Elephas maximus indicus: one gene and its partners. The protein of the gene in region 2 binds, or shares a complex with, the protein of the main gene of each other region. Links are inferred from orthologs where the notes say so. Each region holds a gene or a part of one and is shown on either strand. Other genes may lie near its edges. The genes, in order: GTF2E2, GTF2H4, GTF2F2 and POLR2C.

Evidence for each region.
Region 1: GTF2H4 (region 2) and GTF2E2 share a complex: the UniProt entries of both Homo sapiens proteins name them as parts of the TBP-based Pol II pre-initiation complex. The link is inferred for Elephas maximus indicus from reciprocal best matches to the Homo sapiens genes GTF2H4 and GTF2E2.
Region 3: GTF2H4 (region 2) and GTF2F2 share a complex: the UniProt entries of both Homo sapiens proteins name them as parts of the TBP-based Pol II pre-initiation complex. The link is inferred for Elephas maximus indicus from reciprocal best matches to the Homo sapiens genes GTF2H4 and GTF2F2.
Region 4: GTF2H4 (region 2) and POLR2C share a complex: the UniProt entries of both Homo sapiens proteins name them as parts of the TBP-based Pol II pre-initiation complex. The link is inferred for Elephas maximus indicus from reciprocal best matches to the Homo sapiens genes GTF2H4 and POLR2C.

Annotation. Positions count from the first base shown.
Region 1 is NC_064840.1:69,554,425-69,561,284, forward strand, and holds the start of GTF2E2 (transcription initiation factor IIE subunit beta), read left to right. Parts: upstream 1-3,845; 5' UTR 3,846-4,076; intron 4,077-4,085; exon of another isoform or gene 4,086-4,292; 5' UTR 4,293-4,404; intron 4,405-6,860. UniProt on the Homo sapiens protein: Recruits TFIIH to the initiation complex and stimulates the RNA polymerase II C-terminal domain kinase and DNA-dependent ATPase activities of TFIIH. Both TFIIH and TFIIE are required for promoter clearance by RNA polymerase.
Region 2 is NC_064819.1:91,215,932-91,223,177, forward strand, and holds the start of GTF2H4 (general transcription factor IIH subunit 4), read left to right. Parts: upstream 1-4,229; 5' UTR 4,230-4,406; intron 4,407-4,995; 5' UTR 4,996-4,998; coding exon 4,999-5,138; intron 5,139-5,581; coding exon 5,582-5,686; intron 5,687-6,034; coding exon 6,035-6,166; intron 6,167-6,427; coding exon 6,428-6,524; intron 6,525-6,618; coding exon 6,619-6,707; intron 6,708-6,917; coding exon 6,918-7,029; intron 7,030-7,191; coding exon 7,192-7,246. UniProt on the Homo sapiens protein: Component of the general transcription and DNA repair factor IIH (TFIIH) core complex, which is involved in general and transcription-coupled nucleotide excision repair (NER) of damaged DNA and, when complexed to CAK, in RNA transcription by RNA polymerase II.
Region 3 is NC_064832.1:35,134,172-35,141,160, forward strand, and holds the start of GTF2F2 (general transcription factor IIF subunit 2), read right to left. Parts: upstream 3,022-6,989; 5' UTR 2,819-3,021; coding exon 2,753-2,818; intron 1-2,752. UniProt on the Homo sapiens protein: TFIIF is a general transcription initiation factor that binds to RNA polymerase II and helps to recruit it to the initiation complex in collaboration with TFIIB.
Region 4 is NC_064839.1:24,366,842-24,374,317, forward strand, and holds the start of POLR2C (DNA-directed RNA polymerase II subunit RPB3), read left to right. Parts: upstream 1-4,471; 5' UTR 4,472-4,555; coding exon 4,556-4,641; intron 4,642-4,824; coding exon 4,825-4,874; intron 4,875-7,125; coding exon 7,126-7,194; intron 7,195-7,325; coding exon 7,326-7,378; intron 7,379-7,476. UniProt on the Homo sapiens protein: Core component of RNA polymerase II (Pol II), a DNA-dependent RNA polymerase which synthesizes mRNA precursors and many functional non-coding RNAs using the four ribonucleoside triphosphates as substrates.

The DNA of each region.
Region 1 (6,860 bases), on a different chromosome or scaffold from region 2:
CTTGTGGAATTAAAAAGTACACTGGGGATCTCACCTAATATGAAATAAACAAACATAATGAAACCAAAGATTAGTAGTGGTTACCAAAGTGGGAGGGAAGAGAAAATACGGAGTATTCTTGCTAAGAGGACATTGAGTTTTTGTTAATTTCCAATAATTTGGAAAAGGATAGCAAGAATGATTTTACACATTGAGTGTATGTTAACGGTGGTAGAATAATTTGGAAAAGGATAGTGAGAATGGTTTTACAACTCTAAGGATGTAGTCAGTGTCACGTAGAAATTGTTGAGTTGGCCTGTGTGTCGTGTGTTTTTTCACCACCCATGCACACACACAAAACAGCATCGTAGGAGCAGACAAATCAGGTTATTCCAAGACGTTAAACTTCTTCCTGCATGTAAAGTTAACACTTTCGACAAGTGTGTTCATTATTGAACTAATATTTAATGAAAGTAGTCTAAGTAGTCACATTGCATTGGGCAAATCTGCTGCAAAAGACCTCTTCAAAGTGTTAAAAAGCAAAGAGGTCACTCTAAGGACTAAGGTGCACCTGATCCAACCCATGGAATTTTCAATCACCTCATATGCATGTGAAAGCTGGACAATGAATAAGTAAGATTGAAGAATTGATGCATTTGAGTTATGGTGTTGGCAAAGAATATTGAATATACCAGGGGCTGCCAGAAAAACAAATCTGTCTTGGAAGATGTATAGCCAGTCTGGTGAGACTTGGTCTCATTTACTTTGGACATATTATCAGGAAGGACCAGTCCCTGGAGAAGGACATCATGCTTGGTAGAGTACAGGGTCAGTGAAAAAGAGGAAGACCCTGAACAAGATGGACTGACACAGTGGCTGCAACAATGGGATCAAGCCTCTAGTTCTTGGGACTTGAGCTAGCAGCTTACCTGTGGCTTTGCCTGCTGATCTTGGGATGTGTTGAAGTTCACAGCCTATGAGCAAGAGCCCTGCTCTCTGACCTGCCAGTCTTGGGTTTGCCAGCCCCTGCGGCAGCTGCGTGAATCAGGAAGAGCCTCTATCCTGATCCATTTGGGACATTCCAGCTTCTCCAATCGCATAAGCCATTTCCTTGATGTAAGTCTCTCTCTCTCTATATGTAAATACATTTATATGCTTTACTGGTTTTGTTTCTCTAGGGAACTGAGCCTAAGACAGCAGGGGAAGCTGGAGGTTGGCTAACTAGAAGTAGGGCATCTTATATGATTGATTTGGGGAGCATATTTGGCTTTCTCGAGTTGGTTCTGGGTTGGGGCAGGGGATAGGGAAGTTGGTAGCCTTTGGGCAAGTCCTGAACATTCTGTGGCAATTGCTGCAGAGGTTGTGGTTTGGCTTGTTATGTGGGTCAGAGTTCTATTATCCTCTATGATCCAGTTGTTGTGCATTTGTATATTCTGTCTCACTCATTAATGAGGAAACCAGCAGAGTGACAGAATTAATTCCATGAAGACATGAGACACTGGGATTTATATAACTATTGGGGAAAAGAACGGTGAAATACAATTGCTACATTAATACAAAACTTGCTAATGTTTCTCGGGACAATGCAATTTTAAATTCTGAGATTATTTTTTCGTCTTGGATTCCTTCCCATTATTCCATAACACCTTACTAGTTGTCTGCCTGTTGACCTCAGATTTGCTGCCCTGGAGACCTATGTCTAACAGAATAAAACGTTGCCTGGTTCTGCGCTATCTTCCTGATCACTGGTATGTCTGAGTCAGTTGTGGCCGTTGGGTCAATCCATCACATGAGGGTTTCCCTCGTTTCCACTTTACCAAATATGATGTCCTTTTCTAGTGATCGGTCTCTTTCAATGACTGTCCAAGGTAAGCAAGTTGAAGTCCCACCATCCTCACTTCTAAGGAGCATTCTGGCTGTATTTTTCCTAAAACCGATTTGTTCATTCTTCTGGTAGTCTGTGGTATATTCAATATTCTTTGTTAACACCGCCATTTGAATATATCTATTCTTCTGTTTTTCTTTTTTATTGTCCGTCTTTCCTATGCCTGTGAAGCAACTGAAAAGACTGTTGGTTGGGTCAGGTGCAACTGAGTCATCAAAACGACATCTTTGTTTTTAAAACTTGAAAGAGGTCTTTTGCAGTACAATACTATCCTCATTTCCGAAATGAGAAAACTTAGGTACAGGTCGAGTAACTTGAGGAGTAACCAGTACTAAGTAATTAAACACAATTAAACTACAGCTACAGAGTAGTTGAAGGAGCCCTAGTGGTACAGTGGGTAAAGCTGCCGGTCTGCTAATCGAAAGCGTTACCACAAATCGCGGGTCCGAGCAGCCTGCCGCAAAGCCAATACTCAGACAGGAGGAGGTAAGCAGTAAGAGGGCTTTACTGAATACCGGTATTCAAGAGACCCAAACCAAAAACCCAAACCCACTGCCGTCGTCGATTCTGACTCATAGCGACCCTATAGGACAGAGTAGAACTGCCCCATAGAGTTTCCAAGGAGCGCCTGGCGGATTTGAACTGCGACCTCTTGGTTAGCAGCCATAGCACTTAATCACTACGCCACCGGGGTTTCCATTCAAGAGACAGAGGGGGCTAAATTTCTCCCAAATTCTGTCTACCCTAAAGGGTTGACGGGAGAGTTTTATATGGGGAAGATCAGGGTTATCTAATCTTTTGAGCATGTAGTCCACAGATGGTCTTATACGTCACAAAACAACCACAAAAAAACTATTCAACTAAAGATATGCATGTCAGGCATCCAGACTCTCATCAGTATATTTGTAACAGGCTGAAAAACTCACGTAACAATCTCTTGGCTAGTGGAACTGTTTTGCCAAGTCCACTGTGGCTGAGATAGGGAGCGAAAAAAAAAAGCTGCAGATTAAAAATGCCAGAGAGCCTTCCTATGGGTTTGCAGGCTGAAGGCCATCTCTCAAGAGAACAAAAAGAAGAAAGACCAAGGCCACAGGAGCTGAGATAGCTCCGCACCCCTTTGGAAGAGATGGGTACATCTGGTGCAATAAAAAAATGTTGAGAGATTACTTAGAGCATCCTTAGGGCGTTAGTTATGTCAAGCTCTCCATCACCTATTTTGAATAGGGGGAAACCTGTTTGTAAGGTATCATGTTTTAAGAGTGGAACAGGCTGCTCAGCTATATTTTGAACAGAGCCTGCACCATTTTCCAAGGACTAGAGATTAATCACAGCTTATACAGCTATACTAAAACAAATAAGAACATATATTCTCTCTAATATTAAAACACTAAAGAAAATGAATTTTTGCTACTTCAAAAGGTCAGAGGTTTGAAGCCACCAGCAGCTCCGCTAGAAAAAAATATGGCATTCCGCTTCCCTAGAGATTGAGAGCCTTGGAAACCCTATGGGGTCACTGAGTTGGAATCTACAGGATGGCAGTGGTTTAGTTTTGGGTACAGAGTAGTTGAGCTCTGGCCAACTGGGCCTGTTCTCTCACTTGTGAAAGAGGCAGCCATTTGAGGTAAATTCACAAATTTCTGAATTTTGTGTAGACACTCAATAGCTGGCGCCCCTACTCTGGGTTCAACAGATTCCAGAGCACGATGAGAGTAGCAACCAGAAGCTTTAGTTTGCCACAAAGCAAAGGGGTCCTCCATCTTCCTTTGCGCCGCCCGCTCACGCTCCCCCACGCCCCCTCAGTCCCGCCCTCGGTTCCGCCCCGCCCCCTCCCTCCCCAGCCCGCCCTCTGGTTGTCATGGGGATCCGGGACGCCCGAGCCTGCTTGTTACCCTCCCGCGGTACCCCTGGCGAGGGGGCGAGGTCACGTGACGACGCATGCGCGTTCTCGGCCTCGAAGGCGCCGCGGTGGCTGCCGGGACTCGGCTCCTAGCAGCCAGATCAGGAAGTGGCGGGCGGAGCCCGGGGCCGAGTCGCCGCCTCAGTAGCCGCTGCCGCCGCGGCCGGTGGGGAGACCTCGACCTGGCGTGCGTGCGAGCAGGCGGGGGTGCTGACGGCGAGCAGGAAGAGGCGGCGGCTCCGGCGTGGGCGGCGGGCCCTGGCGGAGGCGCGGGGAGGCGGCGGCGGGTCGCGCGGGGCGGCTCTACTGGCTGAGGTAGGGGCCGCGGCCGCCGGCTGGGGGGCGCTGAGCCTGGGCTGTTGTTCCTCGGACGGGGACGCGCCACCTCCTCCCGCGGGGCCGAGCGTGGCTTCCAGCCCCGGAAGGCTGGGCTGTGGCTCTCCCGGCCGAGCACTGCAAGGGTGTAACAGTTCCGTGGGAGCTTTGTCTTTGAGGCCGGAGCGTTCATTGAGCAAACTTCTGGGTTGGCAGGAGGGAAGATGCACCGTCGGAAAGCTGAGAAGTCTCTTCCTCCCCCACGTTCCCATGGGCGGTAGCTGAGGGAACCGCGTGTGGAGTTTCGGGAACCACAGTGTGCCGACAGGTACCTCAAGGCTGTGATTTAGACACTCACCCACGGACTGTTTTTTTTTTTAAGCTGGCTTTTGGAGACTTAGTTTGTAATGATCCTTAAACTTAGTCATACAGTTATAGTTGTTTTCTGCGTAGTTTAAAGACGTTTTCCAAAAACGATACTGCGGTACCTTTTTCAGCCTACTCTCTGCTTCTGTGTGTTTTCTCAGCCTGCCGGCTGTTGGTAGCAGTGTTGTTAGATGCCAGTGACACCTCTGAGGCTTAGTCAGGGAAAGGAGGAAAAGTAGAAAGGCTAAATAAAAGAGGCGACTGGTGTGGTGGCAAGAACGTGGCTTTTGGAGGCAGAAGATTTTGGTTTAGTTTTGGCTTCTTAAAATCCATCCTTGGAGGAAGGCGCCAGCTCCCTGAACCGGTGTGGTGAGTCTGTGTGGTGGTTTTTAATGTAACTGGGGATGGTGATGTGTGCTGTCTACTGTAACACAGTTCAGCATAGGGATGGGAAACTCAATAGGAATGTTGAGAAGTCTTCTGAGAAAAGAGGAAAAGCTAGCTAGAGCATGCAGTGGTGAAAACGGGAGATACTAGTAAGCCTTCTGCTCTAGGTGCCATTCATTGATCGTCAGCAGTACCACACAGGTGGCCTTTGTTGCAGAGGCCTTAAGCAGTGTTTCCCATCCGGTGTGAGGAGCACTTGACCGGTAGTCAGGATATTTGTGGTTTTAGCCCTAGTTCTCCCAGCTGTGTGACTGTAACCATACAGCTTCACTTCAGATTTCACATCTTAAAATAGGAGTGAAACTAATACCTTATTATCTCATAGTGTTGTGAGGATCAAATACTGTATTTAGGTCTTTTTAAACTCTAAGGCTTTCTTTGAATTTGTGTTTAAATCATTAGGAAAATCCCAGATTAATTACTTATCTAAACAAGGGGAAATAAACTGATACAAATGCTTCCCGTTTTAGAGTTTACAGTCTTCTGTTGCCCCCCACCATGTCACTTGTGAATTCTCATTGCTCGTTCTTGGTATCACACTTTGCCTTGCCCCAAGACACTCTACCTTCCTTACTCCGGTGTGATCATTTTGTTATTTCTTGTCAAACCCGTCTCAAAATAGTAATACTGAAATGATAACATATTTGTATAGTGTGGTGCTTTACTATTTAAAAAATCGCTTTAATGACTCTTTTTGTTTTTTACAGTTGAGCTAGATGTAGACACTGTTGGTAGTATCTTCATTTTACTTATCATGATGTTGCTTATTGGGAGAATAAGCAACATCATGATAAACAGGTTGTGAGGACTTTTGTTTTCTTCGTAGAGGTGTAATTCATACTGAAGTCTGTAGCCTTTGATCATCATCGGTAAGCGCTTAAACGTCTCTTCCCTTTCAGCAAGCAAGGTTGTGTCATCTGCATATCTCAGATTGTTAATGAGTCTTCCTCTAATCCTGATGCCCCGTTCTTCTTCACATAGTTGAGCTTCTTGGATTATTTGCTAAGAATACAGATTGAATAAGTATGGTGAAAGGATACAACCGTGATGTACACCTTTCCTGATTTTAAACCATGTAGTATCTCCTTGTTCCATTTGAACAGCTGCCTCTTGGTCTATGTACAGGTTCCTCATGAGCACAATTAAGTGTTCTGGAATTCCCATTCTTTGCAATGTTATCCATAATTTGTTATGATCCACACAGTCGAATGCCTTTGCATAGAGAATAAAACACAGGTAAACATCTTCATGGTATTCTCTGTTTACAGCCAAGATTCATTTGCTATCAGCATTAATACCCCTGCTTCCATGTCCTCTTCCGAATCTGGCTTAATTTCTGGCAGCTCCCTATTGATGTACTGCTGCAATTGCTTTTTAATTATCTTCAGCAAATTTTTACTTGTGTGTGACATTAATGATACTGTTTGATAATTTCTGCATTTTGTTGGATCACTTTTCTTTGGTTTGGACACAAATATGAATCTCTTCCAGTTGGTTGGCAAGGTAGCTGTCTTCCAGATTTCTTGGCACGGACAAGTGAGCACCTCCAGCACCGCATCTGCTTGTTGAAACATCTCAGTTTGTATTCCACCGATTCCTGGAGTCTTGTTTTTCGCCATGCCTTCAGTACAGCTTGGACTTCTTCCTTCAGTACTATGAGTTCTTGATCATATGCTACCTCCTGAAATGGTTGAACATCAACCAATTCTTTTTGGTACAGTGACTCTGTATTCCTTCCATCTTCTTTTGATGCTTCCTGAGTTGTTCAGTATTTTCGCCATAGAATCCTTCAGTATTGCAACTCAAGGCTGGAGTTTTTTCTTCAGATCTTTCAGGTTGAGAAGTTCCAAGCTTTTGGTTTTCTAACTCCAAGTCTTTGCATATTTCATTGTAATACTTTATCTTCTTGACCCACCCTTTGAAAACTTCTGTTCAGCTCTTTTACTTCATCTTTTTTTTGCTTTAGCTACT
Region 2 (7,246 bases):
GAGTAGGATTGTTTGTCTCCTTTGTGGTAACCTTATTATCTACCCCTGTTTTTCTAAATTTAAACCTAACTTTTATTTCTTTGTATCGCCGTATGTTCCTCTCCATATGGAAGGTGTATGATTACATTTCTTAGTCCCTCTTTTTCTAATGTTGTTTTCTTTTATACAATAACATTGCTCTTACCCTGTTTTGAGCTTTTTTTAAAAAATAATCTTGCTTTGTTTTTTGGATTTCCCTGTCTGGGTTGAATTCTGGTTGCTCTGGCCAGTGTTCTAGTCTTGGGTTGATACCTGATATTATTGATTTTCTAACCAAAGAACTCCCTTTAGTATTCCTTGTAGTTTTGGTTTGGTTTTTACGAATTCCCTAAACTTGTGTTTATCTGGAAATGTCTTAATTTCACCTTCATATTTAAGAGACAGTTTTGCTGGATATATGATTCTTGGCAGGCAATTTTTTTCCTTCAGTTTTTAAAATATGTCATCCCATTGCCTTCTTGCCTGCATGGTTTCTGCTGAGTAGTCCGAGCTTATTCTTACTGACTCTCCTTTGTAGGTGACTTTTCTTTTATCCCTCGCTGCTCTTATAATTCTCTCTTTATCTTTGATTTTGGCAAGTTTGATTATAATCTGTTTTGGTGACTTTCTTTTAAGATCTACCTTATGTGGAGTTCGATGAGCATCTTGGATAGGTATCTTCTCATCTTTCACGATATCAGGGAAGTTTTCTGCCAACAAATCTTCAATAATTCTTCCTGTATTTTCTGTTATCATCCCCTGTTTTGGTACTCCAATCACTCGTAGGTTATTTCTCTTGATAGAGTCCCACATGATTCTTAAGGTTTCTTCATTTTTTTTAATTCTTTTATCTGATTTTTCTTCAAATATATTAGTGGCGAGTGATTCATCTTTGAGTTCAGAAATTCTAGCTTCTATTTGCTCATTTCTGCTCCTCTGACTTTTTATTGAGTTGTCTATTTCTGTAATTTTATTGATAATCTTCTGAATTTCTGATTGCTGCCTGTCTATGGATTTTTCCAGCTCATTAAACTTTTCATTATGTTCCTGAATAATCTTTCTAACTTCTTCAATTGCTTTATCTGTGTGTTCCTGGGCTTGTTCTGCGTGTTGTCACATTTCCTTCCTCATGTCTTGAAGGGTCCTGTATATTAAACTTTTGTATTCTGTCTCTGGTAATTCCAGGAATGCACTTTCATCTAGAAGATCCCCGGATTCTTTGTTTTGAGAGCCTGTTGAGGTGATCATCATCTGTTTCTTTATGTGACTTGATATTGACTGTGGCCTCTGAGCCATCTATAAGTTATTGTATTATTTTATGCCTGTTTAATGTGTTGTAGCTTCTTGCTTTGTTTTGTTTTGGTATAACCCTATGGGTTGCTTGAGTGAGCTAGCTTGATTATTTTCACCTTTTGAGCTCTGACATCTGGTCCCCAGATGGCTAGAGCTGTTATCAGGTATATCAGTCTAGGAGTCCATTCAGTTTTGTTGTATGAATTCAGCTCAGGTTTCCGGGTAGCTGATCATCAAGTATGTGTTACAGGCTCTGTACTACAGACTTAGAGGGGCAGGGGTGATTGGCATATATATCGGTATCTGATTGCAGCAGGGGGTCACGCTCTGAACAAGGTAGGTGGCTGAGAACCGACTCCCGAGTGTCTCTGAGGAAAGCATGTCCCTGTTCCCTAGAGTGTGCAGGTGGGTGGGTTCTGCAGACGGACCATGGGCACCCAAAGTTTTTGATTGTAAGGTCTGGGAGGTACCAGTTATCTTTGGACCCCTGTCGCGGGTGGCTGGGTGACCTGAGTGACCTGAGTGGAGCTACCAGTCCTTAGGTCCCTGATATGGGTAGGTGGGGACCTTGTTTAATAGGCAAAGCAATGTCAAACATCAAACACCCACCTCTTAAACGCACAGCTGAAATGGTCAGAGTCTGCCAACAAGGGCCTATTCTCCCGAAATAGTCCCACACACGTCCATGCAGAAGGGAAAGGTGCTCAAAGTCCACGGATGGTTTATGCCTGGAGAGGAGCTGCTTCTGTCCTGAGGTCCCCGGGTTAGTGGAACTAGCAAATTATCTTTTCTCCCAAATGCAAATTTTTTCCTTCCCCAAGGCTGGGAGGATGGCTCTAGGTGCTGAACAGTGCCTATCTCAGGCCCAGGGAGTTCAGCCTCTGAAGCTGGCTTGGGGGTGGGGGGGCATGGTAAAATATACCCAAGTACTTAGCTTTTGCCAAGAGCACTGTTCTCCTCAGGTTCCGGAGGTGTGAGTGGGCTGTAAGGCTGGCTGCTTCTTCCTGAGGAAACGGTGGCCAAATGCTACTACCAGCCCGCCGCCGCTGCCGCTCCAGGAATGGTGCCTGAGGGCTCCCGGCGATTCAGGTTCGATAACCACTCTCCACTTCTGAATGGTCTCTTCCTCCCCCTGCCCCTCAGTTCGTTTTCTAAGCTTGCCTTTAAAGCTCAGGGCTCCCAGCTTGTCACAAACATACTGGTTTCACTTGTTTTTTCAGGTCTTTGTTGTAAAGAGGGCTCCCCAGAAGTGTCTGTCTATTCCGCCATTTTGGCTCTGCCTCTCGAGTTTTTTTTTGACTCATAGAGACCCCACCGGGCAGAGGAGAACTGACCCACAGAGTTTCCAAGAGGCAGCTGGTGAATTCAAACTGCTGACCTTTTGGTCAGCAGCTGAGCTCTTAACCACTGCGCCCCCAGAGCTCTGAAACTATTGACAGATACTGCCAAATTGCCCTTAAAAAGGCGTATGTCAACCTTTGACAAAAGTGTGTAAGTGAAAAAAATTTGTATGAGTATGCTCGTATATCCTTGTGAACACTGAGTTTGTCAAACCTTGTTTTGTTTTGTTTTTTATTGTTGAGCTAATCTTGTACTTTATGGTTTACTTTGATATTTGGTTTCAATTTACTTTTCCATAATTACTACTGAAATTTAGTTTTTTCATCTGTTTACAAGGCACTTGTATTTTTTCTGTTTATTGTCTGTTCATCTCTTGTGCTTTTCTTTTGTTTTTATTGCTTTGTAAGAGCTTTTTGTATTTTGTCTATTTTATCAAACATTTCTTCCCAGACCGTAATCTGTCTTTTAACTCTAACTTTTGCCATAAAAGAGTTTTGTCAGCTTTGTATCATGTTTTGAGGATTTTAAACGCTGACTGCTAAAGAAACAGACAGGGAATACAAAGCCTAAGAAAGTCTTACCATTTTGGGTCCAGTATCCTTTGCTGCCTCACAAATGTGCTTCAAATTCCAGCTTTTGCACTGTCTAGCTGTCTGATTGTGGGCAAATCTCTCAACCTTGCTGGGCTTCAGTTTTCGTTTGTAAAGATGGAATAATAAAACCTGCCTTATAGGAACTTGGGGGGAAGTGTACTTCTAGTCTGAGGACGTCCCCTCCCCTTTCCCTGCAGTAGATTTGTAAGCCAAATCAGAGCAACTTTTTTTTTTTAATTGTATTTATAACGACCTTCTAACTAAACGAGAGGTGACTGCGTGGTGGAGGTGGAAATTAAGATTTATTGAGTACTTACGTGCCAAGTAAGGTGCAATAGCCAAAAACCGAATCAATTACATAGCCGTGGAGTCAATTCCAACTCATAGCTACCCTGTAAAACAGAATAGAACTGTCCCCACAGGATTTCCAAGGCTGTAAATATTTACGGACGCAGACTGCCCGATCTTTCTACTGCGGAGCAGCTGGTGGGTTCCAACCGCTGACCCTTCGGTTAGCAGCCGAGCGCTTAACCACTGCGCAACAAGGCTCATTGGACCGTGTCAACTCCAAACTCGCGCAAACTTTCGGGAATGTGCTCTGTCCCAACTTCACGGGGAGTAACTAAGCTCAAGGAACCCAGTTCCCACGTCTCTAAGCCTAAGCGCCTCACACCGCGCCGCCTCAGCACGCCTCTGCCCGGAAGCCCTCCGGGCCCATCTACTCCCGGGACCCGCCTCCCGCCTGCCGCCGAAGCCGGTTAGATGCGATGTTAGCACCGTGGGTCGAGAGCGCCGCGGAACGAAAGAGCCCAGCCGGTATCCCCAGCTCTCTAAATTAAAAACCAGCCTCTCTCCTGCCCGCTTTCTCGCGGTGCGTTTCGGGAGTTGTAGTCAGACGCGCTTCGGCCTGCTTCGGGATGGACAAGAACAAGACTCCAATTCCCAGTATGTCCCGCGGCTGGGGAGTGCAGCGCCTATTCTCCTCCCCACTTTTCCACGCCTTCCTTTCTCTTCTAAATCCTCCGCTCTGAGTTCCTGCCTGTGAAGTCCTTCGTCCCTCTTGCCAGTCTTTTTCTCGCATTTTTTTCACCATTCTTTCTCTTATTCCTGGGAGCCAATGCGAGACACCAGTTCCCATTAAGCGACTGCTCGAGACTCGGGGTGCGCGAGGGGTATCGATCCAGAGTGGTGAGGGGCACCCAGGAGGGCGGGGGTGGCGGAGAAATGAGAGAGAAATTGAGAGGAGAGGAGTGGGAGGAAAGTAGGGGAGAAGTTAGGAGCTAGGACTATGTGGGATCACGGTGAATGGGGGGAAACGGTGGCAGGGAGACGTAATTTATTGCCGTTTCCTAGCACAAGTGGGGCTAAGAAATTGCAGATGGGAAGAACTGACAGATTTGGAGCTCATAGTCTGATCTGACCAGGGAGGATGGAAGGGAGGGAGGGGACTGGGTTCAAACTGGCTTCTTAGCCACTGCTCAGCTAAAAGTGAGACAAGCCATTGAAATACAAAATGATTTTTGCAAACATGGGACAATTAACAGAAGTAGGGTGTGAGGAGGCAGGCAAGTAGGGGAGCTTGGTCAGATTTGGGAGAAACAGGAGGAGATAAGTGAGATGGAAAAGGAAACCACAGAAAAGATGGGTTATCGTGGAGGAGGCTGAATCTGATCTCGAATCAGAATGAGAAAGGTGAGGGGTGGTACTGGCATGGTTGGTGGGAGTGCTCTTCTAACAATGCATCCTTCAGGTGATGGAGAGCACCCCTTCAAGGGGCGGACTGAACCGAGTACACCTACAATGCCGGAACCTGCAGGAATTCTTAGGGGGCTTGAGCCCTGGGGTATTGGACCGATTGTATGGGCATCCTGCCACCTGTCTGGCTGTCTTCAGGTGAGGACCCCCTTGAAGGCAGGGACCATGTGGTGGGGGGAAAATGCAATGAAGGCCTCCAGACTTGAATAAGTTATCATGGGTAGAGGCTTAGCAGCCCTGGAGAACTTGGAGATTACTCATAAGGGTGGTAGGCCAAAATAGATGGAGTTTGTGGGGCAGCAGGACTGGTAAAGGTGTGAGGGCTAAGATGGGACATTTGAGAGGCCCTTGATGGCATAGTGCTTAAAAGCTACAGCTGCTAACCAAAAAGTCGGCAGTTCGAATCCACTAGGTGCTCCTTGGAAACCCTGTGGGGCAGTTCTATTCTGTCCTGTTGGGTTGCTGTGAGTTAGAATTTATTTGACAGCAATGGGTTTTTTTTTTTTTTTTTGGTTTTGATGGCATAGGTGCAGCTATAAGGCAGCTTCTGACATTAACATTTGACATCTACTCCTCTGTAGGGAGCTCCCATCTTTGGCTAAGAACTGGGTGATGCGGATGCTTTTTCTGGAACAGCCTTTACCACAAGCTGCTGTAGCCCTGTGGGTGAAGAAGGAATTCAGCAAGTGAGTCTCTACTGCTTTCTCACCAGATACAAATTTCCCAGCAGGTGTATTTCCCAAACTGCTGTTCCTTCGAACACTCCCGGGAAGTATTAATGGTATTAATGGGTATGCCACAAAGCTTGTAATTAAGTTTGGGAACTCTGCATGCTATATTTCCCTCTCGGAGAGCCACGATATGTACTGAGATGCTCTGATAAGCGTTAGAGTAAAGAAATTTAAGACACTGATTTCACTCTGGAACAGTGTTCTAAGGATCTCTGGTTCAGAAAAGGCAGAAATCAAAGCTTTTATGGGCCTACTTCTTTTTGTTCTCCAGACACCCAAGTCACCTCTTTGCTTCTGTTTCAGGGCTCAGGAGGAAAGTACAGGGCTGCTGAGCGGCCTCCGTATCTGGCACACCCAGCTGCTCCCTGGAGGTCTCCAGGGCCTCATCCTCAACCCCATCTTCCGTCAGAACCTCCGCATTGCCCTTCTGGGTGGGTATGTCACCTCCATCTCTTCCTCACCTAGGACAGGGGAAATGATAAACTTCTTGGGGGCTAACTCCCAAGGGGCCTCCCTGTAACCTTGTGGGTGCACCTTTGGGAGCCCCTTTATAAATAAATCAGTTGGACCAGATGTAGCTGGGTGGGGTAGGAAATGTCCCCCACTCATGTTCCATGGGGATAAGGGGGGAAAGGGGGCGGGGGTAGGTGGGGAGCACAGGGCAGGTTCCTTACTCTTGGCCCATTTTGGCCATAGAGGAAAGGCCTGGTCTGATGACACAAGTCAGCTAGGACCAGACAAGCATGCCCGGGACGTTCCCTCCCTGGACAAGTATGCTGAGGAGCGATGGGAGGTGAGGACTTGGGACTGTGTGTGTCTCTGTTCATGCTGCTACTTACCTGTGGCCCTTAGAGGCATCACTCTCTCTGTTCTTTTCCATTTCTTAGGTAGTCCTGCACTTCATGGTGGGCTCCCCCAGTGCAGCTGTCAGCCAGGACTTGGCACAGCTCCTCAGCCAGGCTGGGCTCATGAAGAGGTACAACAGCTCCTGCTTTGCTGTCTCCTTGGGTCCCTGCTAAACTGGGTGTCTCGGGAGGATCAGGATTGGAGGGGTTGGCTGAAAAAAGGAGAGCTGGGTGGAGTAAGGCCAAAGATACCAAAAACAAACCAAAAAAAGTGAGAGGGCAAGTGGGGATGGTGGCCCTTCTCTGTGTATCTCCACCATCGTCCCTGTCTGTGTCCCTAGTGCTGAACCTGGAGAGCCACCCTGCATTACTTCCGCTGGCTTCCAGTTTCTGCTGCTGGATACCCCTGCCCAGCTCTGGTACTTTATGCTGCAGTATCTGCAGACAGCCCAGGTGAGGCCAGGGGCTGCTTGCCAGCCTGCTCTGCTCTTCCCAAGACAACTCCCAATGAGAGACCCCCACCTATAGGCTCTGTTTCCTGATTTTCTCTTTTCTCCTTCTCCTCCCTTTTCTCCCTCCTATCCTTCCTCTTTTTCTCTGCCCCTTCCTCCCTAGAGCCGGGGCATGGACCTAGTGGAGATTCTCTCCTTCCTCTTCCAGCTTAGCTTCT
Region 3 (6,989 bases), on a different chromosome or scaffold from region 2:
AGATGAAAATCCAAGTATTCTCTAGATATGGGCATGAAAATCACCCTCAATACTTACCCCAGTGCAAATGAAACAAGTTCATATTATCTGCTAGGTGTGCAAATCAAACCCCATTGCCTATTGGGACGCCTTTTACTAGAACAGAAATAAAAGTTGTCAAATAAAGGCGGGATATAGACAGATTTTACAACAGAAAATATTTGCTAGCAATTCTCTTCCTCTTTCAGAAATAAGGTTGTCAGAGGACAAGAACTGGCAAGAAAGAGAAAATATCCAGCATATTCCTTTCATACCCAGGAAAGACGTATTTACAAGTCCATTCATTTCCTTGACACATAAAAAAAGAAATACTGCATACCAAGTTGATGCTAGGAAGCAATGATTTTGCAAGCAAGAAATAACAAGAACAAATCATCGGCTTAAGATTTTTTTTTTTTAAAAGAGATAAAATGTATTCAAATGTGCATATATGGGGAGAATACCAAAATTCTTTTAACTTCTTCAATTTCAGATTCATTACGTTCTTTCACATTCTCATTTAGTCAGACTGATGGTTAACTTTATGGGTCAACTTGGCTAGGCTATGGTGCCCAGCTGTTTGCTAAAACACTAGACTAGTTGCTGTTATAAATTACATATGGTGGCCTCAAGTAAAGCAGATTACCTTCTATAATGTGGGCAGGCCTCAATCAATCAGGTAAAGACCTTAAAAGCAAAGGGAAGCTTCCCTAGGATGAGTTCTACTCCTCTTCCATACCGTAATAGATATGAACACTCCTACTCTTCACTCTTCTTAACGCCTGACCTACACGCAGATTTGGGGAGTGCAGGAGTCTACAGCCAGTTGCCTAACCAACTGATCTTGCAGCCCCCACAATCACGTGAGCCAATTCCTTGAAATAAATCAATCTCTCTCTATCTCTACACATGTATATGTCTGGTTCTGTTTCTCTAAAGTACCCTAAGATAGTCAGCAAATCCTGACAATTTTTTACTGAAAACATTTTCCTAACTCTTCAGACTTCATCATCTCATACATACCTATGCTACTGCGGTAACTTTCTGAATTCTGACTCTGGTCACCCTTACCCTCTAATGCATACTGCATACTGCCAAGTTTATTTTCTTTTTAAAAGAATCTTATGCATCCCTGCCTTACTCAAAACCCTCCATTTTCTATAGACTAAAATCAAGAGAGAATCCACTCAACAACAACTGACTTAAAGCTAAAACATCTCCGTTTCACGATATGACAATTTGGGTATATGGTCCCAAGCTTTTTTTACACAAACTCTCTGCTCTAGGCATAATAGTCTCCTCTTTGTTTTCCAGAACGCATCATGTTAACATGCATTTCCAGTCTTGTATTTCTGTTCCACTCCTATAGGATCGCTATGAGTCAGAATCAACTCACTGGCAACAGATTTTTTGGTCTATGGAATACTATGCTATAGCTCGATCCACCCATTCAAATCCTGTAAGGCAAACAACATTTATTGTGCATCTACTGCGCTCCAAGCATAAAACCATAATCTCCATTCTCACCACTTTTTCAAGCTCTTTTCTTTAGCCTACAAAGCAGATTATCTCCTTAATCAATCTCTTCCAGTTGGGAGTGAGACACCCATTTACTTGATCGTTTTAAGTCATGCTGATGTGGCTGTGAGATAAGTCGAATGAGTGCCACAGACTAAGGATAAGGTTGAAGGATGAAATCATGCATTCATTCATCAAATATCTGCTGAGCAATTACCAATGTGCCAAACACTATTGTGGGTCCTGTTCTAATGGAATGTGATTGTGTGTATGTGGGTGTTGAGGGGCAGGGAGTAACCATCACTGAACGCATGAATACGGAATCACTTTAGACTCTGACAAACACTTTGAAGAATATAACAAAAGTTTGACGTGCTACCAAATCACCATAAAGGAGCTATTTTAGAGGGGTGGACAGGAAGAACCTCTCTGATATTTAACTGATGAGGACTTGGCCGTGTGATAAGACAGTAAACTAAAGCATTAACAAACCAAAGATCTCTACATTTTATGCGAGGTTCAAAGACTGTCATGATCACAGTTTGAACATGCATATGTCTTATGAAACTCCCCCAAAAAACAACACTTCTCAGTATAAAAAAAGTCAATACAAACACTGTGCTAACGGCTAACCCAGACTGCAAACGAAAAGGACGCAATACTAGTCTTTACATAAAACATTTATTGACGGTCAGTCTCAAGAGACCCAATCGTGCTCTAAAAGAAAGGTCGAGTGACCTCTTCTCCCATTAGTTCAGAACTCTTCTGAGAGCCCTATTAAAGGTCATCATCCTAAAAGAACAATTTTAAGGGTAAGCAACCTTCCGTTCTACTTTCTGGCCGAGAAAGTAGATTCTTCCGCGTGCTCTCAAGACTAAAATCCGTTTCAACAAGATTCAGGAATTCTTCGATGTGGGATAAAATGCACCGCTCAAATCGGGGACACCAGACGGGGCACCAGGGCAAGCCAGGTCGTGGGGAACAGATCCATTCCAGGCATACTTGGACTCTCAATTGGCTGAAAGACACTCAGCTTCCCTAAACTAATTTTCTCATCTGCAAACGGGCAAAACAACGACCACACTTCCCCAAGTATGTGAAGCTCTAATGAGATGGCCATAAAAGAACTTTAAAAGCCGTACGGAGCGGGACGATCGTAAGTCACTTAAACTATTTCTATCAGGGGGCGCACAGGCGGGAGTCCCGCGAACATTACCTTGACCAGCCACACTCCCGTGTTCTGTTTGGCGCCGGTCAGATCGAGTTCGCCGCGCTCAGCCATGAGTCTGTCGCCGGTGGAGGCGTGCAGCCGGGGCAGCGGCCGCGACAGCTGGGGGACTTCTGCCGGAGGAGTGTCCGGGGCAACCGGCGAGCCGCGGAGGAAGGTGGCCTCTGAGGAGCTAGGGTTTCTCAGCTACCAGGAAGCTGGAAACCTGAGGAAAAAGGAACACGCCGCTGGGGGCCGGGAACTGCGCCTGCGCACTGCCACCGTCAGTACGGCGCGTTGCTGGGGACAAACTTTCCAGTCGGCCCGCGCTTGGGTGGGTGTGGCTACCGGAGAAGCCCTATCTGATTGATTAAAACGTACGGTGGGACGGGCCAAAACGTCATCAGTACCTTTAAAGACTAGGTCAACGTAACTAAAGAAACTCAAATCGCAACCTATTATCTTCCAGCCAATTTCAGTTCAAAATGACCCTGTAGGACAAAGTAGATCGGCCCCATAGGGCTTCCAAGGCTGTAAGCTTACAGGGGTACTGGGTTCCAACCCTGATCTTTTGGTTAGTAGCCAATCGCTTTAACCACTGCACCACCAGGGCTCCTATAACTAAGGAACAAAACAAAACCCATTGCCATTGAGTTTATTACAACTCATGAGGACCCTATAGGATAGAGTAGAACTACCCCGTAGAGTTTCCAAGGAGCGCCTCGTGGTTTTGAACTGCCAACTTTTTGGTTAGAGACATAGTTCTTAACTACTACACCACCAATGTTTCCCTAACTGAGGAAAGAGGGCATCAAAACAGAATAACCAATGGGATTTAAAGAGACAGAAGCTGTCAGTATATGCCCAACCCTGGCCAAGGAGAGAGAGACAACATTTTGAAGGACAGAACTAGAGTAAAAATTGGAGTTCTTCAAATATCAGTTTCCCGGGAAGTGAACTAGCACAAATGGGCATGGGGATTGGATTAATTTGCCCCAGGTAATCTGAAAACATGCCATTTCTAGACCTGAAAAGAAAGCGGTGTCTCAACTCAGAGGCTGTCCCTGGGGACCTATAATTGAGTAAGCACAGTCTTTAGATTCCAAAATCTGGACTTAATTAGGTCAGTGACAATACAAACACGTAAGAGACAAACCTGATTGTTGAACTCCCCTGCTTAAACAAATTTCTTTTCTCTACTTGGCCCTAGAATAAAATTCAATCCCCTTGCTTCATGAGTCCTCTCCGTTTGATTCCTTTGCACTCCTGCTCCTGACTCTACCACACTTCCCACTGTAACCCAGTGAGGGTTCTTGTCCCGTCCTGTTAGCAGATGGAAATATGACAGACGCCACACCGCCAGTTGTAAGGGAAACAGAAAGTGGAAATTTATTGTTTGTGCAGACAAGGAACGCGGGGCCTAGCAGCCAAAAGACCACGCGCTACCAGCCCCAAGGGAGCTTAGAGCTTTTATGCCCTTCAGTCCCTAGGGGGTGGGATTGGTGCCCCAAATCCGACACCCCATCCTCCCATGTCCATTTTTGGAGATCCAGGTGCTGAATTATTTGTAAAGGAAGGGAACTTTCACTTTACAAGTGGGCTGCGGTGCAGCTGTGTACTGGAGAACATCCGCTCTGGCAAAGTTCAGATCAGGGGTCAAGTTCCAGGCCTCGGCTCTTCAGAGCCTGCGTGGGCACCGAGATCTTGGTTTGCGCATGCGCGGGGTGTTGGTGCCAAATTCAAGCCTCAGGTAGTGCCCTCAGCGCACTGGGGCCAAACAGCGGTTAGGACAGGAGGCTTGGTGGGCTGCAAGTGGGGGTAGGAACTGCAGCGGATCGGGAAGCCTCAGTGACGGCTTCACAACCACACTGAGCCTATCAGACCTCCCTGAATTCGTGAGGCTCTTCCTAAATTATTTCAGAGCCTCTTCACACTTGATTTCCTATCCTCGGATCCCCTAGTCTTCCCATAAGCCCGTCCTCGAATAAACTTCTATTTATCTTTCAAGACTAATGGAAACATCAGTTCCTACGAGACCTTTTGCCGACGCCCCAGAGGAAGTTCATTTCCCTTCACATCACAGTGTGTGACACTCAGGGGCGGATTATCCGATAAGCAAGTTACACACGGGCTTATTTGTGCTTATTTTCTGATCTGTACAGCACAATTTCACCTGTTTTTCACCACAAGAAAGACACTTAACTTACTTCACTGGCACTTAAGACAAAACCAAAAAATCATGTTGCCCATTGGGTCAATTCTGATTCATGGTGACCCTACAGGACAGAGTCGAACTGCCCCATATGGTTTCCTAACCTTTAAGGGGGAGCGCTGGTGGTGCTGTGTGAGAAAGATGTGGCAGTGCACTTTTGTAAAGGTTTACAGCCTTGGGAACCCTATGCGGCAGTTGTACTCTGTCCTACAAGGCCACTATGAGTTGGAACGGATTCCACAGCAATGAGTTCCCTCCCCCCCTTTGGTTTGCAATCTTTACGGAAGTATACTGCCATATCTTTCTCCCACAGAACGGCCTCAGAGTTTGAACCAGCACTTAACCACTAGCCACCAGGGCTCCTACCCATAACACACTGCACTAAAATATACATGTTTACATGCCTGCCTCTGCTTTCTAGGCTATGAGCTCCTCCCAGGCAGAAATATTTATTCATATCTATAATGTCTAGCACGGTGTTTGACACATTGTCACATTTCAAAAGGCTTTGGTTGAGTGAATAGTCACTGAAGTAAGATATTGTATGAATGGCAAGTAATATATTAAATCACACATCAGACCCACGCACAAAATCGAAGAAATCCCATCACTGCAGCATAGGACCAGGAAGAGCCATCAGGTCTCTGAGATCACTTTAGAAAAACTAATAGGAAAGACAGGAACCAGGCAGTGTGTTAAAAGGGAAGGCTGTATTCTCGAATCACAACTTGGGAAAGGGCCCAAAAACATATAGAGTTCAAGCAGATGAAGAAAGCTCCTTTAAGCTTTGATGAAGTAGAAGGAATAAATCGAAATAGGAGACCATGAAAGAAGGGTAGTAAAGTAGCCTGGAGCACCCTAATAAAGGACTTTGCCAGTTGCTATTGAGTTGACTCCAACTCATGGTGATCCCACATGTGTCAGGGTAGAACTGTGCTCAACAGGGTTTTCAATGGCTGATTTTCCAGAAGTAGATCACCAGGCCTTTCTTACAAGGCACCTCTGGACTTGAACCTCCAACTTTTTGGTTACCAGTTGTTATGGATTGAATTATGTCCCCCAAAAATATGTGTCAACTTGGTTAGGCCATGATTCCCAATATTGTGTGGTTGTCCTCCATTTCCTGATTGATATAATTTGCCAGTGTTGTAAACCCCAATCTCTGCCTGTGGTTAATGAGGGAAGATTGGGTTATGTTAAAGAGGATTAGGGTGGGATGTAACACCTTTAGTCAGGTCACATCCCTGATCAAATGTAAACAGAGTTTCCTGGGGGTGTGGCCTGAATCACCTTTTGTCTTACAAGAGATAAAAGAGAGAAGCGAGGGGAGAGAGAGTGGGACCTCATACCATCCAGAAAGCAGTGCCAGGGGTAGAGTGGGTCCTTTGAACCTGAGGTTCCTGCACAGAGAAGCTCCTAGACCCGGAGAAGATTGATAACAGGGACCTTCTCCCAGAGCGGAAGGAGAGAGAGAGGGCCTTCCCCTGGAGCTGATGCCCTGAATTTGAACTTCTAGCCTACTAGACTGTGAGAGAATAAAATTCTGTTTGTTAAAGCCATCCACTGGTGGTATTCCTCTTATAGCAGCACTAGATGATTAAGACACCAGTCAAGCACATTTACCATTTGCAACACCTGGGGACTCCAGTAGTGGACTTTAGAGTAAAGAATTAGTGCCTTGGCCTTGATCAATGAGTTATAAGAAGCCTTAAAATTTATGTGCGTGCATGCATGCTACACAGGGGTTGTGGGAGAAAGAATGGCAAAGAAATGGGTAGAGAAAAAAGGAAAACATGAAGATTTAAAAATGATAAAATTGGGAAAGAGGAAAAACCCAACAATTTACTGAGCACCTGTCCTCATACACTGTTGAGCAAAGAACAATTTTTTCCCTACCTGTCCTTTCCAAACATCTTCCAGCTTGGGGATGGATGTCTGTGGAACTGGGAGAGAAAAGGAGAACACAGCCTAACAATATCCATCGAATTTACTGGGAGACCCACAAGGTGACAGATATTGCAGCCAGATTCCTCA
Region 4 (7,476 bases), on a different chromosome or scaffold from region 2:
TGTCAAGTTCACTGCAGTAGCTGTTCCAAATTTCATTCCAGTCTTTCCTTTATCCTTCATGGCATCCATCTTCACTCAGCAGACAACCTGAAGTCTGACTTGATGGAGAAGAAATAGGTGTGGAACAAGAAACCCTTCAATGCCCTTCCTTTCCTGTCTCAGGAAGAGGTGTCGCTCCTTGCTAAGGCAGACTGCTTTTATCTCCTCTCCTGGTTACTCTTCGTTATGCCCTGTAAATGAAGTCCCTGGCAAATTCTATTTCAGGCCCTCCTCTCTACATGAGTGCTGTGATTCTGAAGGTCCCAGCCACTCCTACCATTTCAGCTGCCACCTTTTTGAGGCCTGTTCAAACCTCTCTGCAGACTGGTTAGGGGACGTTGGTGATTCTTTATTGAGTATATGCCCTGTATGGGGCAAGCTGCTGGGGACTGAGAGTGCAGAAATGAAAAACCCCCTCCCCAGCAACTACACAGAACTGTGGATGATGTATTTTATTAAAGAGTATTGTATTTTTTCCCCAGCATTTTCAGAAGCCAAAATGACATGCATGATTCAGACTTGATAAGGCTGAAAGGGAAAGGGTGTATACCCATTCTTTAAGTACTTGAAAACAGGATTTAATATTAGCAAGGCTGCAAAGAAATAAACCAAAACCAAACCCACTGCCGTCGAGTCGATTCCAACTCATAGCAACCCTATAGGACAGGGTAGAACTGCCCCATAGAGTTTCCAAGAAGCGCCTGGAGGATTTGAACTGTTGACCTCTTGGTTAGCAGCTGTAGCACTTAACCACTACGCCACCAGGGTTTCCACAAAGAAATACTCTTAATACTGTGTCAATGAACTTCGTACAATCTTTCTACAGACCAGTTTGATTATAAAAATTGTACATTTTAGTTAAATGTAAAATGATTCAACAAGATCATTTATTTTTACCAGATTATCAAAGATCAAATATTTGGTAATACCCACTGTTGGGAGAGATGGGAAATCACAAAACCTGAGGGTTATGTGGAGGGCTATTTGACCATGTTTCTAAAAAAAGTCCATATACCCTTTGACCAGAAATTCCACTTCAAGAAATTTATTCTACAGATACACAACTGTGAACAAGGATGTTAATGTAGCCCTATGTATAATAGAAACTAGCCACAATCTAAATGTCCATTAGTATGTTGTTGTAAGGTACCATCACGTCAGTTCCGACTCATAGTGACCTTGTGTGTAACAGAACAAAACGCTTCCTGGCCCTGCACCATCGTCATGATCCTTGTTATACTTGAGCCCATTATTGCAGCCACTGTGTCAGTCCATCTTGTTGAGGGTTTTCTTATTTGCTGGCCCTCTACTTCACCAAGCATGATGTCCTTCTCCAGGGACTGAGCCCTCCTGGTAACATGCCCAAAGTACTTGAGACAAGTCTCGCCATCCTTGCCTCTAAGGAGCATTCTGGTTGTACTTCTTCCAAGACAGATTTGTTCTTTTGGCAGTCCATGGTATATTCAATATTCTTCACCAACACCATAATTCAAAGGCATCAATATTTCAGTGTTCTTTATTCATTGCCCAGCTTTCGCATGCATATGAGGCGAATGAAAACACCATGGCCTGGGTCAGGCACACCTTACTCTTCAAGGTGACATCTTTGCATTTTAACACTTGAAAGAGGTCTTTTGCAGCAGATTTGTCCAATGCAATGCGTCTTTTGATTTCTCGACTGCTGCTTCCATGGCTGTTGATTGTGGATCCAAGTAAAATGAAATCCTTGATGACTTCAATCTTTTCTCCATTTATCGTGATGTTGCTCATTGGTCCAGTTGTGAGGACTTATGTTTTCTTTATGTTGAGGTATAATGCATACTAAACGGCTGTAGTCTTTGATCTTTTTCAGTAAGTGCTTCAAGTCCTGTTCACTTTCAGCAAGCAAGGTTGTGTCATCTGCATAATGTAGGTTGCTAATGAGTCTTCCTCCAATCCTGGTGCCCCATTCTTCTTCATATAGTCTAGTTTCTCAGATTGTTTGCTCAGCATACAGATTGAATAAGTGTGGTGAAAGGATATAGCCCTGACTCACACCTTTTCCTGACTTTAAACTGCACTATCCCTTTGTTCTGTTTGAACGGCTGCCTCTTGATCTACGTACATGTTCGTCATGAGCACAATTAAGTGTTCTGGAATTCCCACTCTTCACAATGTTATCCATAATTCGTTATGATTCACACAGTCAAATGCCATTGCACAGTCAATAAAACACAAGTAAACATCTTTCTGGTATTCTCTGCTTTCAGCCAGGATCCATGTGACATCAGCAATAATAGTCGTATTAACTGGTCTTCCTTGTAGGCATATGGATATTATTCTATTACTGACAGCATTGTACGTCAGGGTAGATTTTTTGAAATGTTCTTTTTGACGACGAATGCAACACCATTCCTCTTGAAGCTGTCATTCCCAGCATAGTGGATCATATGATTTTCCAATCGAAAATGGCTACTACCTGTTCATTTCAGCTCACTAACGCCTAGGATATAGATGTTTATGTGTTCCTTTTCATTTTTGACAATTTCCAATTTTCCTAGATTCATACTTCATACATTCCATGTTCCAATTATTAATGGATGTTTGCAGCTGCTGCTTCTCGTTTTGAGTTATGCCACATCACCAAATGAAGATCTCAAAAGCTTGACTCCATCCATGTCATTAAGGTCGACTCTAGTTTGAAGAGGCAGCTCTTTCCCATTGTCTTTTGAATGCCTTCCAACCTGAAAGGCTCACCTTCCAGCACTGCATCTATGTTCCACTGCTATTCATAAGGTTTTTACTGGCTAATGCTTTTCAGAAGTAGACTAGCAGATCCTTCTTCCCAGTCTATCTTAGTCTGGAAGCTCAGCTCAAACCTGTCCACTATGGGTAACCCTGCTGGTATTTGAACACCGGTGGCATAGCTTTCAGCATCACAGCAACACACAAGCCCCCACAGTATGACAAACCGATAGGTGCTTGGGGGGATATTGCTGGTGTCCATCAGTATGGAACTGATTAATTATGATATATTCATATGATGAAATTAATTATTAAAGGAACAAATTGATTTGTATGTACTGATCATAACCCAGTAACCCAGTGCCGTCGAGTCGAGTCCAACCCATAGCGACCCTATAGGACCCTATAGGACAGAGTAGAGTGTACTGATCATACACAAAGAATATAAGAAATCTAGATTTTCTAGTTTTTCAAATTTATTTCCATAGAGTTGCTCTCCCAAATGTGTGGTTTCTTACTTCAGGCTAAATTAATTCCCCATGACCACCATAACTAGTTAGCACAAACTTGGTAACTAAAAAAAAACAGAAATCAATTCTCTCACAGTTCTGGAGGCTAGAAGTCTGAAATGAAGGTGTCTGCAGGGCCATGCTCCCTGTGGAGGCGCTAGGGGCGATTTCATTTGCCTCTTCCAGCTTCTGGTGACTGTCCATATTACTTGACTTGTAACCTTATTCTCCAGTCTCTGCCTCCATCTTCACATTGCTTTCTCCTCTGCATGTGTCTTCTCTGGGTATGTCTTATAAGGACGCTTGTCTTTGGATTTAGAGCCCCCCCAGATAATCCAGGATGATCTCATCTCAAGATCCTTATTACATCTGCAAAGACTTTTTTTCCAAATAAGGTCACATTCACAGGTTCTGGGGATGAGTACAGGGACATAGCTTTTTTGGGGGGGACCATGGTTCAGTCCATTACACAGACTGTGGAGCAAGGGCCCCCTCAGTACCCTTTCTCTTTGTCTCAAGAATAGGCGTCAGTCCTTTTGTTAAAGAGCTCCCTGCCTCCAGCAGTTTGAGGAGCCACATGCATGATCTAGACTTTACGGTGAGAGCGAAAAGGCAGATGTCTATTATTTGTGTACTTTGCTGAAGCATACTTATTGCTAAAGTATAATCTTATTTCTTCACAGAGCTTACAAATTTACTTCATTCTTTTTAAAGTCTTCATTATATTCCTATGTGTGTATATTTAACCAAATCTCTATCAATGGACAATTGGTTTACAAACAACCTTGCAGCCAACATCCCTGTACACGTATGCCTGTTCACAAATGCAAACATTTCTGCAGGGTAATTCTTAGAAGTGTAATTGCTGAGTCAAAGGGCAAATCCACTTCTTGGCAAAATTACTCTCTAAGGTGGAACCTGGTACATTTTTAAAGCAGGCTGGATTTACAAAGAAGTCCTGGTGGCGCAGCGGTTAAGAGCTCAGGCAGCTAACCAAGAGGTGGGCAGTTCGAATCCACCAGACGCTCCGTGGAGATCCTATGGGGCAGTTCTACTCTGTCCTATAGGGTCGCTATGAGTCGGAAGCGACTCGAGGGCAACAGGTGTGGTTTTTTAGGGTTTACAAAAGCATCTTCCGATTAAACGTCTGGCCCGCAGCGGCCCTGGCCTCCGATCGGCAGGCGGCGCTGTGAGCGAGTCTCTGCGGAAGCGGCGACGGCCGCGCTGGCTGACTTCCGGCGGCGGCGGCGCAGCTAAGCTGACTGCAGGGACTCCGCGGCGCGATGCCCTACGCCAACCAGCCCACCGTGCGGATTACCGAGCTTACCGACGAGAATGTCAAGTTCATCATCGAGAATACGGACCTAGCGTAAGGCCACCGAAGGAAGAGGCTGGTGGCTTGGGAGTGCTGGAATGCCTCAAACCCGGGGCGGGGATGGGGTGAGGGTGGTCCCTTCCAGAACTGCCCTGCCTGTGCCAGGGCCGTCGCTTTGGGAACCATGAGGCACGGGGCCGCCCGGCGCCCTCACCCCGTCTGGTTTTCATCCCTCAGGGTGGCCAATTCTATTCGGAGGGTCTTCATTGCTGAAGTGCCCATAATAGGTAAGCGACCCCTACCTCCTCGTTGCCTGGGCGACCAGCCCCCCGCCTTCGGTTTCCGCCCACCCACCTTGGGCTTCCTGCCTTCAGTCCTTGGTGCGGCCTGGGACGGGAGGCGGAGGAATAATCTGGACCGCTGAGAAAAGGGCAGTGTTGGAAACTTGCCAAAACCATGAACCCTTGGCCCAGCGACCACTGCTGGCCCCCTCCCTGGCTCTCACGCCACTTAGGTCTACCCTTCCGTGTGCATTGGTGAAGAGCGTGGGCTCGGGGGTCTACTGACGTGGGTTCGAATACTGTTTCACCTAGCACCTCAGTGAAACTTGGGCAAGTTATTAATCTTCTCTGTGCTGCAGTTTTCTCATCTGTAACACGAATAGTGTTTATCAGGGTGATATCAAGGATTAAAGGAGGTAGTCCATATGCAGGGCCTTGCATTTAGTGAGTGTTCAGTCCTGGTAGATGTCATTGTTTTTTATGACTCTTCAGTTGCATTTATGATGCATGTAAGTGCCAAGCGTGGTGCTGGGTGCTGGGAGTACAAACCTATATAAAATGAGGTCTTTGGCTCACGGGGAGAAGCCCTGGTGGTGCAGTGATTAAAGTACTCAGCTGCTAACTGGAAGGTTGGTGGTTTGAACCCACCAGCCACTTCAGGGGAGAAAGATGTAGCAGTCTGCTTCTGTAAAGATTTATAGCCTTGGGAACCCTATGGGGCAGTTCTCTGTCCTGCAGAGTTGCTGTGAGTTGGAATTTACTCGACGGCATTGGGTTTTGGCTCATGGACCTCACAGTGAAGTTTCAGGGGTGGGCAGTGAGTCCACAGATAACACTAATACAATGTAGACTCTGATGGGTATTTCAAGGGAAACAGCTGCAGTGCTTTCGGCAGTTAAAGGAAGGAGAATCTATTTCTTCTCTGGTTCCAGCCACCCCTCTTCAGGTATTTTATGTATTGACAAGTATGCTACAAGTATTTTCTGAGTGATAGCTCAGAGAATTTGGCTTAAGCAAAAAAAATATAAGTCATAGATAATGCATCAGGTGTGTGGCCTCTTAGGGAAGTAAGCAGGCGCACTGCTTGGTAAACAAGAAAACACTGTAGTTTATCCACCCTCCCCCATCACTTCTTCAGCTCAGAGCTTGGCACCTGACCCTCCCCCTGCCTAATCACTCAGTTTAGTTTCATGAGGAGTAAAATGAGGGAATTGGACTTTATGATGCAACTCTAACATTCTGCACCTAAGTGCGACTTTTTCCATAAGTTCAGTTCTACAAGTAACATCGAGCACCTGTTATAGCCCAGGCCATGGCTGGGCATATGAGGAGATTTCAAGATCTGGCTCAAGGAATTTTTAAAGCTAGAGGTAGAAACAAGACGTATACAAATACAACACAAGGCAAAATATGGCAAGTGTCTTAAGAGAAGTCCAGATGGAGTTTTGTGAGGGAGAAGCTTAAAGGAAGGGCGTGATTGCTTCTGTATCATCGAGGACGGACAAGACTTGGTGTTGAGAGTATCAAAGGATAAGGGGATGATGGGAGGAGGGGGTGAGGGAAGTAAAGAGGCAGAGGCAGAAAAGCTTGGGCCATGGTTCTTTTTTGAGTGACTGAATGGCTTGGGTGGGAGAAGCAGTTGAAAGCATTGCAGGATGAAGCAGCCTGGAGCCTGGCTGTGTCTTGCCTTCTTCTGATCTTTGAGTGTTAGAGACATCTGGCAGTTGGGTTCCAGTGTCATTCGACTTCTAGGTTTAATTGCTTATGTGTAAATGTTTACTTATGAATGAATACATGTGTGTTTAAGTGTGTGTGAGAGTAGTTCCCCGCCCTCCTACTAGCTCATTGCTAGTAGGGATTTGGGTTTTTTGCTCAGCATGTCTTGTCTATTAAAAGAATTCAGTAAACATTAGTGGACTGAGTGATAATGAAGTGCTAAATTGGGTGATCTGGTCTTTATATCAGAAAATGAGGTATGGACCATAAGTCTGAGGTTCCCCCCACTTAGGGCCCACATAGTTGTGTTCTTGGACTTAGTGTTGGTAGACTTAAGGTAGCAGATGTAACTGCTTCTCCTGGAAATACTCAGCTCAGAGAAACATGGTCCAGCCACTGGCATTTTCCGAGTTGCACAGAGAACATCCTGCATCTGCAGTGGAATCAGTGTCAGATGTTGCCTCCGTCACCAGAACCACTGCTCTCAGTCTTTAGGTGAATTCAGTGACTAAACAGCATCTCCGCTTCCTTCGTATTTCAGCCATTGACTGGGTGCAGATTGATGCCAATTCCTCGGTCCTTCATGATGAGTTCATTGCTCACAGACTCGGTGAGTGCTGGGCTTGGGGTGCTGTGCCTGGTCTCAGGAGGAAGCCTCCGCTCGCCTCCGAGGGGCCTTGTAGGTTCTCCTTTGGGCCTCACTACTTGACTGTCTTTAAAGTGCTTTTCTGTGTCTTACAGGATTAATCCCCCTCATTAGTGACGACATTGTGGACAAGCTGCAGTACTCCCGGGTATGCTGCCTGACTGGGTGGAATGTGGTGGGGAGGGAGTGCCTTTATTTCTCAGAGTGATTTGTCCTGACAACGTCCAGCTTGTACTAGATTGGAGT